Ovis aries: one gene and its partner. The protein of the gene in region 2 purifies or fractionates together with the protein of the main gene of each other region. This does not show direct contact. Links are inferred from orthologs where the notes say so. Each region holds a gene or a part of one and is shown on either strand. Other genes may lie near its edges.

Region 1 (4,327 bases), on a different chromosome or scaffold from region 2:
CTTATAAAACCACAGTACAACTACAGAAACCAGGAAATTAACACTGAAACAGTGCTATTAATTAATCTGTATGCCTCATTTGAATTCCACCAGCCTTCCAAGTAAGATTTTTCCTGGAAAAATATCACTGTATTTTTTCAATGTTTTAGTTAATTACCAACACTTTTTGTAAGTAAGAGATTTCCAGACTTCCCCAGTGGTCAAGACTCCACACTTCCACTAAATGGGGCAAGGGTTCAGTCCCTGGACAGGGAATTAAGATCCTCCATGTTACGTGGAGGGGCCAAAAAAAAAAGTAAAAGATTTCCCATGACATTCTAGATCCCAATGCTCTCATAAAAATATCCAAAGATCTCACTGTGCCAGGCATATATTTCTGGATGGCAACAATAAGCTAGTGTTAAGCCATGGCTGCACCCTTTTGGGAGGGTTCATGCTCTCCCATTTGGCACTCTGATACAGAGATTCTTTTCCTTTATAGTTTATTACAAATGAGTAGTTTCCTGTGCTATACAGGAGGCCCTTGTTGATTTTATATATACAGAGAGAGTAGTGTGTATATGTCAATCCTATCTTCCTAATTTATCCCTCCCCCTTCTTCCTTTTTTGGTAGTGGTTTCTATGCCTGGGGAAAACCACTCTCAATATGAGTAACACCAATGGCTTCTTTCCCAAAACCAGTGGAATTTTTCACACCTGCCACTGGGGCCCACTTCCTCTAACAAATGTTCTAGTTCCTTGGCTTCTCTCTCGGAATTCCTCTTTCCTTTCTAGTGGTTACTTCTCAGATTGGCTCATCCCCAATCATGCCTCTTCTCACTCTTCACTTCTAGTGGGCAACCTCCCTGATGCCAGGGATATTGGATATGTCTTCCTCTTGGACACTTAGCACATCCAAGTCTCTGATACTGGACGTTAAGTGTGCCTTTTGTCTCTAGCTCAGTCTGTAAAGAATCAGCTTGCAATGCAGGAGACCCGGGTTCCATTCCTGGGTCAGGAAGATCCCCTGGAGAAAGAAATGGCAACCCATTCCAGTATTCTTGCCTGGAGAATCCCATGGATAGAAGACCCTGCCAGGTTACAGTCCATGGGGTCGCAAGAGTTGGACAGGACTTAGCAACTAAATCATCACCCCCTAGTCTGCAGTCTCCTTCACAGAACTGTGCAGCAGCTCTGTATCAATCCTCCTAGCCACACATCCATCCCATCCGGCAAACAATGAAGACACTAAGAGTTTCTGTTGAGAAGTCAATGTCAGCAAACTTGACTGAGCCCCTCAAGGACCGCAGCACCCTCATTTGCATGGTATTAAGGACATCAATTTTACATTAATGACTACAAAGTCTGCTAAGTGATGGTTTAGTACAGGCTTTGGAGTCAGACATCTTGGGTTTCCAATACTCATCAGTGTCCCCGTACCAGAGGTGTGACGTTGGACAAGTAAACCTCCCTGAGCCCAGAGTTTTCTCATTGTCAGTGGAGATAAATATGGCAACTGCTCCCTAGGACTGTGAAAAACCTGAAAGACACATATGAAGTCTTTTGAGAGAGCCTTTGAGTAGACTAGGTCTTAGAAACACCTAATGTTGGCAAAAAATAATGACAAAGTTAATATTACTCTTAGTTTGCTAAGCCGCTTCAGTCGTGTCCGACTCTGTGTGACCCCATGGACAGCAGCCCACCAGGCTCCTCTGTCCACAGGATTCTCCAGGCAAGAATACTGGAGCAGGGTGCCATTTCCTTTAGCATCAGGTAAATATCTCCAGCACTTTAATAACTAGATTAAGAGCACTACAGGATTTCCAGGCCTATTATCAGGAAAACACCAAAAATCTCTTTCCGCCACCACTTGGGAACACTCTTCCATCTGTTCATTAACGAAAGACTCTGCTGCTGCTAAGTCACTTCAGTCGTGTCCGACTCTGTGCGACCCCATAGACGGCAGCCCACCAGGCTCCCCCGTCCCTGGGGCTCCCCAGGCAAGAACACTGGAGTGGGTTGCCATTTCCTTCTCCAATGCATGAAAGTGAAAAGTGAAAGGGAGTCGCTCGGTCGCGTCCGACTCTTCGCGATCCCATGGACTGCAGCCTACCAGGCTCCTCCATCCATGGGATTTTCCAGACAAGCGTACTGGAGTGGGGTGCCACTGCCTTCTCCATGAAAGACTCTAAGTCCTTACTATGGCCAAGCCATCTGGCACCGGCTGAGGCCAGTGATACCTCTTGGGCTTAGTCGCTCAGTCCAGTCGGCTCTGTGCGACCCCATGGGCTGCGGCCCGCCAGGCTCCTCTGTCCAAGGGATTCTCCAGCTGAGAACTCGGGAGTGGGTCGCCATGTCCTCCTGCAGTGATACCTTTCGGCCATCCATTAAACCAACTGTCAAACCCCCACCCCCCCCCGTCCACTGACTCACGGAAAAAGGAAAACAGGAACTGCACACCTGGCAGGAAGGCGGAAGGAAAGCGAGTGTCGGCGAAGCAGGGCCGGAGCCGGCGGCCCCGAGAGCTGGAGGGCAAGTCTGGGCGGCGGAGGCGGAGGCGGGGACCCGCCTGAGGAGACCGGCCTAAGGAGCGCGGCCGCGCCAGTCAGGGCCGCCCGGCTCGCACTATGTTCCCGCGCCGGCTCGCGAGACCCGGGAAGAGCCACAGAGGCGGCCCCCTCCCGCGCAGCGTCCCCGGGGGTCGCGCGCACGCGCACGCTCACTCACCGCAGTCCTGGTCGCCGGCCTGCGGCCCGGCGCCGTGCGCGCCAGAAATATGCCTGCCGAGACCTGGCGGGCGCCACCCGTCGCCCCCGCCGTTCGGGGCGGGCCGGAGGCTCCCGCGGCCTTTTAACCGTCTTCCCCACCCCCACCCCGCCCCGCCCCTTCCCCACCCACTCCTCGCTCCCCGCGTCCCGCACTCCTCCCAGCGGTTTGCTTGTGAGCTGGTGCTTTCCTCTGAAGTCTTAGGGGAACTCCAGCGGTAATAACCACACACACTTCCCCTTAATCAGTGGCCTGGCAGACCCACTCGGGGATTTCCATGACCCAGAAAGCGTGACTGTTTCTTAACCGGGGCGGATCGACGTGGCATTTACTGAAATACCTTTACTTCATTGTTCGTGGGTCAGAGGAAATCTTCATAATCTGTGAGAGGGCAAGATGATCATTGGTCAGCCTGACTGGAAAAGGTGCATCTCCCCACGTAATAAAATATTAAACTTTGTGCAAGCTTTCTGATTTATTTTTACTTTTTGTTCTAATTGTAAAGCATAAGTGGAAATGTAGGGGTTTTGTTAAAAAAAAAAATCACAAGATTCTCCTTTTCAATTTATTTTTAGTCTGAAAAAAAAGGTTACCATATTAGTTTAGTGGGGAAAAAAATTGTTTTTTTCTGGTTGATTGGTTATATTTATAACTAGGGTGGAGTTGGCTGTAAAACAAATTCCTCTTTGTAGGCTTCAGTTTCACAGGGGAGATGTCTGCCATGATAGCCTCATAGAAATCTGAAGTCAAGTCTCACTACACATATTTTCCTCAACATTTCCTGCCTAAGGAGTCAATTTAAGCACATTTATCTAAAGACAGTGCATGCCAGGATAACAGATTGGGAAAGCTCACCTGATTTTCCTGCCTTCCAGTAAATCAAGAAAAAGATACCAAGCACTAAAGGCAGAACTGTAATGTTACTTAGTACTTCACTCTCCTGTGGAAACAGGGATGCAGAACAGTCAGGATGAGCTGGGGTATCTTCTGTGTTAGCTGATTTGGCTGTCCATAGCAGATTTCCAGCTGGAACTATATAAAAAAGATTCAGTTTACTTATGTGGAGATTTCGATTCATTTTGAGCCTGCTTAGTTGAAAATTTTATAAGCCATTTTCAACTCTCCTGTGAGATGGTGGAAAAAAATTTTGTGATCTTTATATATATTTATAATCATGTACCCACCAAAATAGTTTTGGAAAACTATATTTCCCTGCACATTTTTAACTTAACATTAAAACACAAAAGTTGTAGTTGCTAAGGAACTACTCAGTTCAGTTAAGTTCAGTCACTCAGTCGTGTCTGACTCTGCGACCCCATGAATCGCAGCACCCCAGGCTTCCCTGTCCATCACCATCTCCCGGAGTTCATTCAGACTCATGTCCATCGAGTCCGTGATGCCATCCAGCCATCTCATCCTCTGTCGTCCCTCTCCTCCTGCCCCCAATCCCTCCCAACATCAGAGTCTTTTCCAATGAGTCAACTCTTCGCATGAGGTGACCATACTGGAGTTTCAGCTTTAGCATCATTCCTTCCAAAGAAATCCCAGGGTTGATCTCCTTCAGAATGGACTGGTTGGATCT
Region 2 (3,779 bases):
TGAGTCTTATCAACATAGGCCAACTATTTTATTGTATGATCAACTGGTGGAAGAAAAACCACCAGAGTTTATCAAACGTAAAATTTACCTATACACTGTTCTTTATATTTATGATCTGCATTTTCAGGGGTTACTTTTTAACAGATTAATCCTGCATTTTACTAACTTTAGAAACAAACTCCTGTGTTTCTATGAAATACTGCAATTTCATTATGGTTGTTTTCTATAAATACAGGGTTGCTGCTGCTGCTAAGTCACTTCAGTTGTGTCTGACTCTGTGTGACCTCATAGACGGCAGCCCATCAGGCTTCCCCATCCCTGGGATTCTCCAGGCAAGAACACTGGAGTGGGTTGCCACTGCATTCTCCAAAATGTAGTGTTAATGAACAGAAATACAGAACACTGAGCGATACTTCACTTTTCCAATGTAATGAAATCAAATAAGGTTAAAAAGATACAAATCAAATGTAATGCTGAAGCTTGAACTTTTTAAATAAAAGCAAAAATGGTCATTTCTGGGTTTTCTGTTCTTCATTCTACTTACAAAAGCATTGTTACATTTAAATGAACTTTTGGATACCTAAGATATCTTACCTTTCAGATGCTCTAGTTTTATATTCCTAAGTTTCAGCACTTCATCTGTAATCTTCTGTATAAGGAAGTTCTGTGTTTTTTCTCGTCGAATAGATTCGACCAGGGTATCCAGTCCTTTGGGGTTTTCTTGTAAATAGTCTAACAGTTTCCCAGCCCTTTTTCTACTTGATGTTCGGCAAGAAATTTCTTCAGTGTCTTCTCTACTGAGTATTTTTTTTGCTCGTAGATGATCAAAATGTCTCTCAGCTATGATTTTTTCACACAGGTATACACGCAAATTTTCTAAAGCCTGAAAGAAATAAAATATGGCTTAATGTAACACCTAAGTCATACAGGTGACTGATGGTAAGTTAGGAATCTGACTGGTAAGAGAAAACACCCTGAAGTCAGGAAGCTCAGCCCTACTAAAGGCATGCTATTAAGATGAGTGAACAGGGCTTCCCTGGTGGCTCAGTGGTGAAGAGTCTTCCTGCTAATGCAGGAGATACAGGTTCGATCTCTGGTCCGGGAGGATTCCACATTCTGTGGAGCAACTAAGCCCGTGCATCACAACTCTTGAGCCTGTGCTCCAGAGCCTGGGAGCTACAACTCCAGAGCCCATGCTCCCTAACAAGAGAAGCTACCACAATGAGAAGTCTGTGCACAACTAGACAGTAGCCCTCCACTTGGGGCAACATGAAAAACGCCTGTGCAACAAAGAAGACCCAGCACAAAAATTAAAAAAAAAAAATTATATACATTAAAAAAAAAGATGAAGGAGGAAAGAGATAGAAGTTCTCCGACTAGATATTCCTCACTGCTTCCGTCCTGCTCTGATCTCATCTCCACAACTGTAAGCCAAGATCAAACTATTGTGAGGAGGGGGCCAGTCTCTTCTAGCGATCTTGGGTCTGTGGAAATGAGAGGTATGCTGAGGGCCTTCAGAGGTAAAGATGAGAGCAGAGATTACTGGACATTTTAGTTTCCATTTAGTAAGGAATCTATGATTAGTCAGGACCAGAGAGGATAACTTAGGGAGGTCTCATGGTTTATAACTTTCTCATTATTAATTTTGCATCTTTCTAGAGTAAAACCCCAAAAGAGAGAGAGAAAAAGAAAGAGCCTAAACTAAAGGGGACCATAATGTGTCTGTCTTTGGAGTCAGTTGGCAAGACAATAATCTAACTCAGTCTTGGGAGGTAGAAAGGTATGGGAGGAAAGAAACAGTGGATGTTGGGGGAAAAAAAAAAAAAACCAAAGAAATACAGAAAAAGAAATCACATAAACAGGCCTACACCTGACAAGGGCTTCCCAGGTGGTGCTTGTGGTAGAGAACTCGCCTGCCAATGCAGACCCTAGAGACATGGGTTTGATCCCTGGGTTTGGAAAGATCCCCTGGAGGAGGGCATGGCAACTCACTCCAGTATTCTTGCCTGGAGAATCCCATGGACAGAGGAGCCTGGAGGGCCACAGTCCATAGGGTCTCAAAGAGTCAGAAAAGACTAAAGCAACTTAGCATGCATGCACACCTGACAAGTGCCTGCTGCTGCTAAGTTGCTTCAGTCGTGGCTGACTCTGTGCGACCCCATAGATGGCAGCCCACTGGACTCCCTTGTCCCTGGGATTCTCCATGCAAGAACACTGGAGTGGGTTGCCATTTCCTTCTCCATGACAAGTGCCTCATGAGGCTTAATTAGCCAAAAATCGATCTGGGTCTCCATAAATGGTATGAATAATTTGATGTGAGCAGCTGTATTACACAGCTCCTTCATTTACTAGATATGTGATCTTGGTAACTCCACTCCTTTGGACCTCAGTTTCCTCATCTGAGTGTAATGAGATATGTAATACGTAACATGTGTAAAGTACTTGGAAAAGTGCTTGGTACATATAAGTGATAAGTAAATATTAGTGATGATGCCAAACATGACTAATTTGATTCGCACTAACAAAGATGAACTACAGGCAATGGAAAATCTTCAAAATACTCCAGTATATGGTGGCAGAAAAGTAGCTTAGGTGAAGGGGTTCCTAGAGTTCTCAGTCCACTAAATTCTCACATTTATTTATTCACACAAGACACATTTCACATATCTAAATGCCTAATATGCCAAGTGCTGACAGTGGATATGCAAAGATGAACAAGACTTAAATTCTGCATCAAAGGGCACATAATCCAGTTGAAGAATACATTATTAACTCAAGTTAGTAATTATGAGATAATGGAATATGACCCAGAAAAAAAAAGATATAGGTCAAGTAGTGGAGAAGCAATTTATTCTGCTTCTAGGACCTGGGAAATTTACAGAGGCCACACCTGAGCGAGAGGCATGAAAGGTATGTAGTAGGGGAAATTACATTTCCCTGTAGCCAAAACCTCATCAAAGGCTTATAAATAAGAAGCCATAAGAAAAGTTTTACAGAGGGCTGGGAGAAGCAAAAATTGGGGTCAGAGTGGACTAGACAACTGCTGCCATATCTTACATATATTATGCTGAGTGCATGAATTTCAGCTGACAGGATGAGGAGAGAGAAAAACAGATTTAAAAGATGAACTTCTTGGAAAACCTCATGTGTTTCCCTAAATTTTGCTATGTGATCGAGACTCTCTCCCTAGAGATCCCAATGGTACTTGAAATTCAATATGTCCAAAAACCAAATTTATCTTCTCCTATCCTTTTCCTCTGACGTTGTAAACTCACTTGGGAGTACCACCATCTATTCAACAAGCTATAAACCTTCAACCCACCCTTGACTTTTCCATTTCCACCCACCCACCAAATCTTGCTGATATTTATCTTCCTCAGAGCATACATTCAAATCATCACCAAGTCTTATTACTACTATTTTAAAAAATGTCTGGAATTCTCCTGTTCCATCCATCTCCACTACCTGTACCCTGATCCAAATCACCATCATCTCTCACCTCTATAAAATTCAAGAATCTCCTCATTAGCTGCCTTCTTCTCACTTTTGCTCACCCCAGTCCATACATTAGGCAGAGGAAATTCTTCAATAGGTCTCTATTTCACTTGGGAAGAAAATTCCACTTTACTACCATCTATAAGACCCTTTATAATCTGGCCCTAGCCTACCATCCTAACTTCACCTCAAGACACTCAACAGCTTGCCTGCATTAGATCCTCTGCAAATTCTATTCTGTCTAGAATGTTCTTCCCTAGTTCGGTCATATCCTTCAGGAATCA

What was found.
Region 1: the proteins of BCL10 (region 2) and BIRC3 purify together in Homo sapiens (affinity purification with western blotting; 5 studies listed by BioGRID and IntAct, with this or other methods). This does not show direct contact. The link is inferred for Ovis aries from reciprocal best matches to the Homo sapiens genes BCL10 and BIRC3.

The regions. Positions count from the first base shown.
Region 1 is NC_056068.1:6,092,943-6,097,269, forward strand, and holds the start of BIRC3 (baculoviral IAP repeat-containing protein 3), read right to left. Parts: upstream 2,805-4,327; 5' UTR 2,413-2,804; intron 1-2,412. UniProt on the Homo sapiens protein: Multi-functional protein which regulates not only caspases and apoptosis, but also modulates inflammatory signaling and immunity, mitogenic kinase signaling and cell proliferation, as well as cell invasion and metastasis.
Region 2 is NC_056054.1:62,305,979-62,309,757, forward strand, and holds part of BCL10 (B-cell lymphoma/leukemia 10), read right to left. Parts: intron 884-3,779; coding exon 595-883; intron 1-594. UniProt on the Homo sapiens protein: Plays a key role in both adaptive and innate immune signaling by bridging CARD domain-containing proteins to immune activation.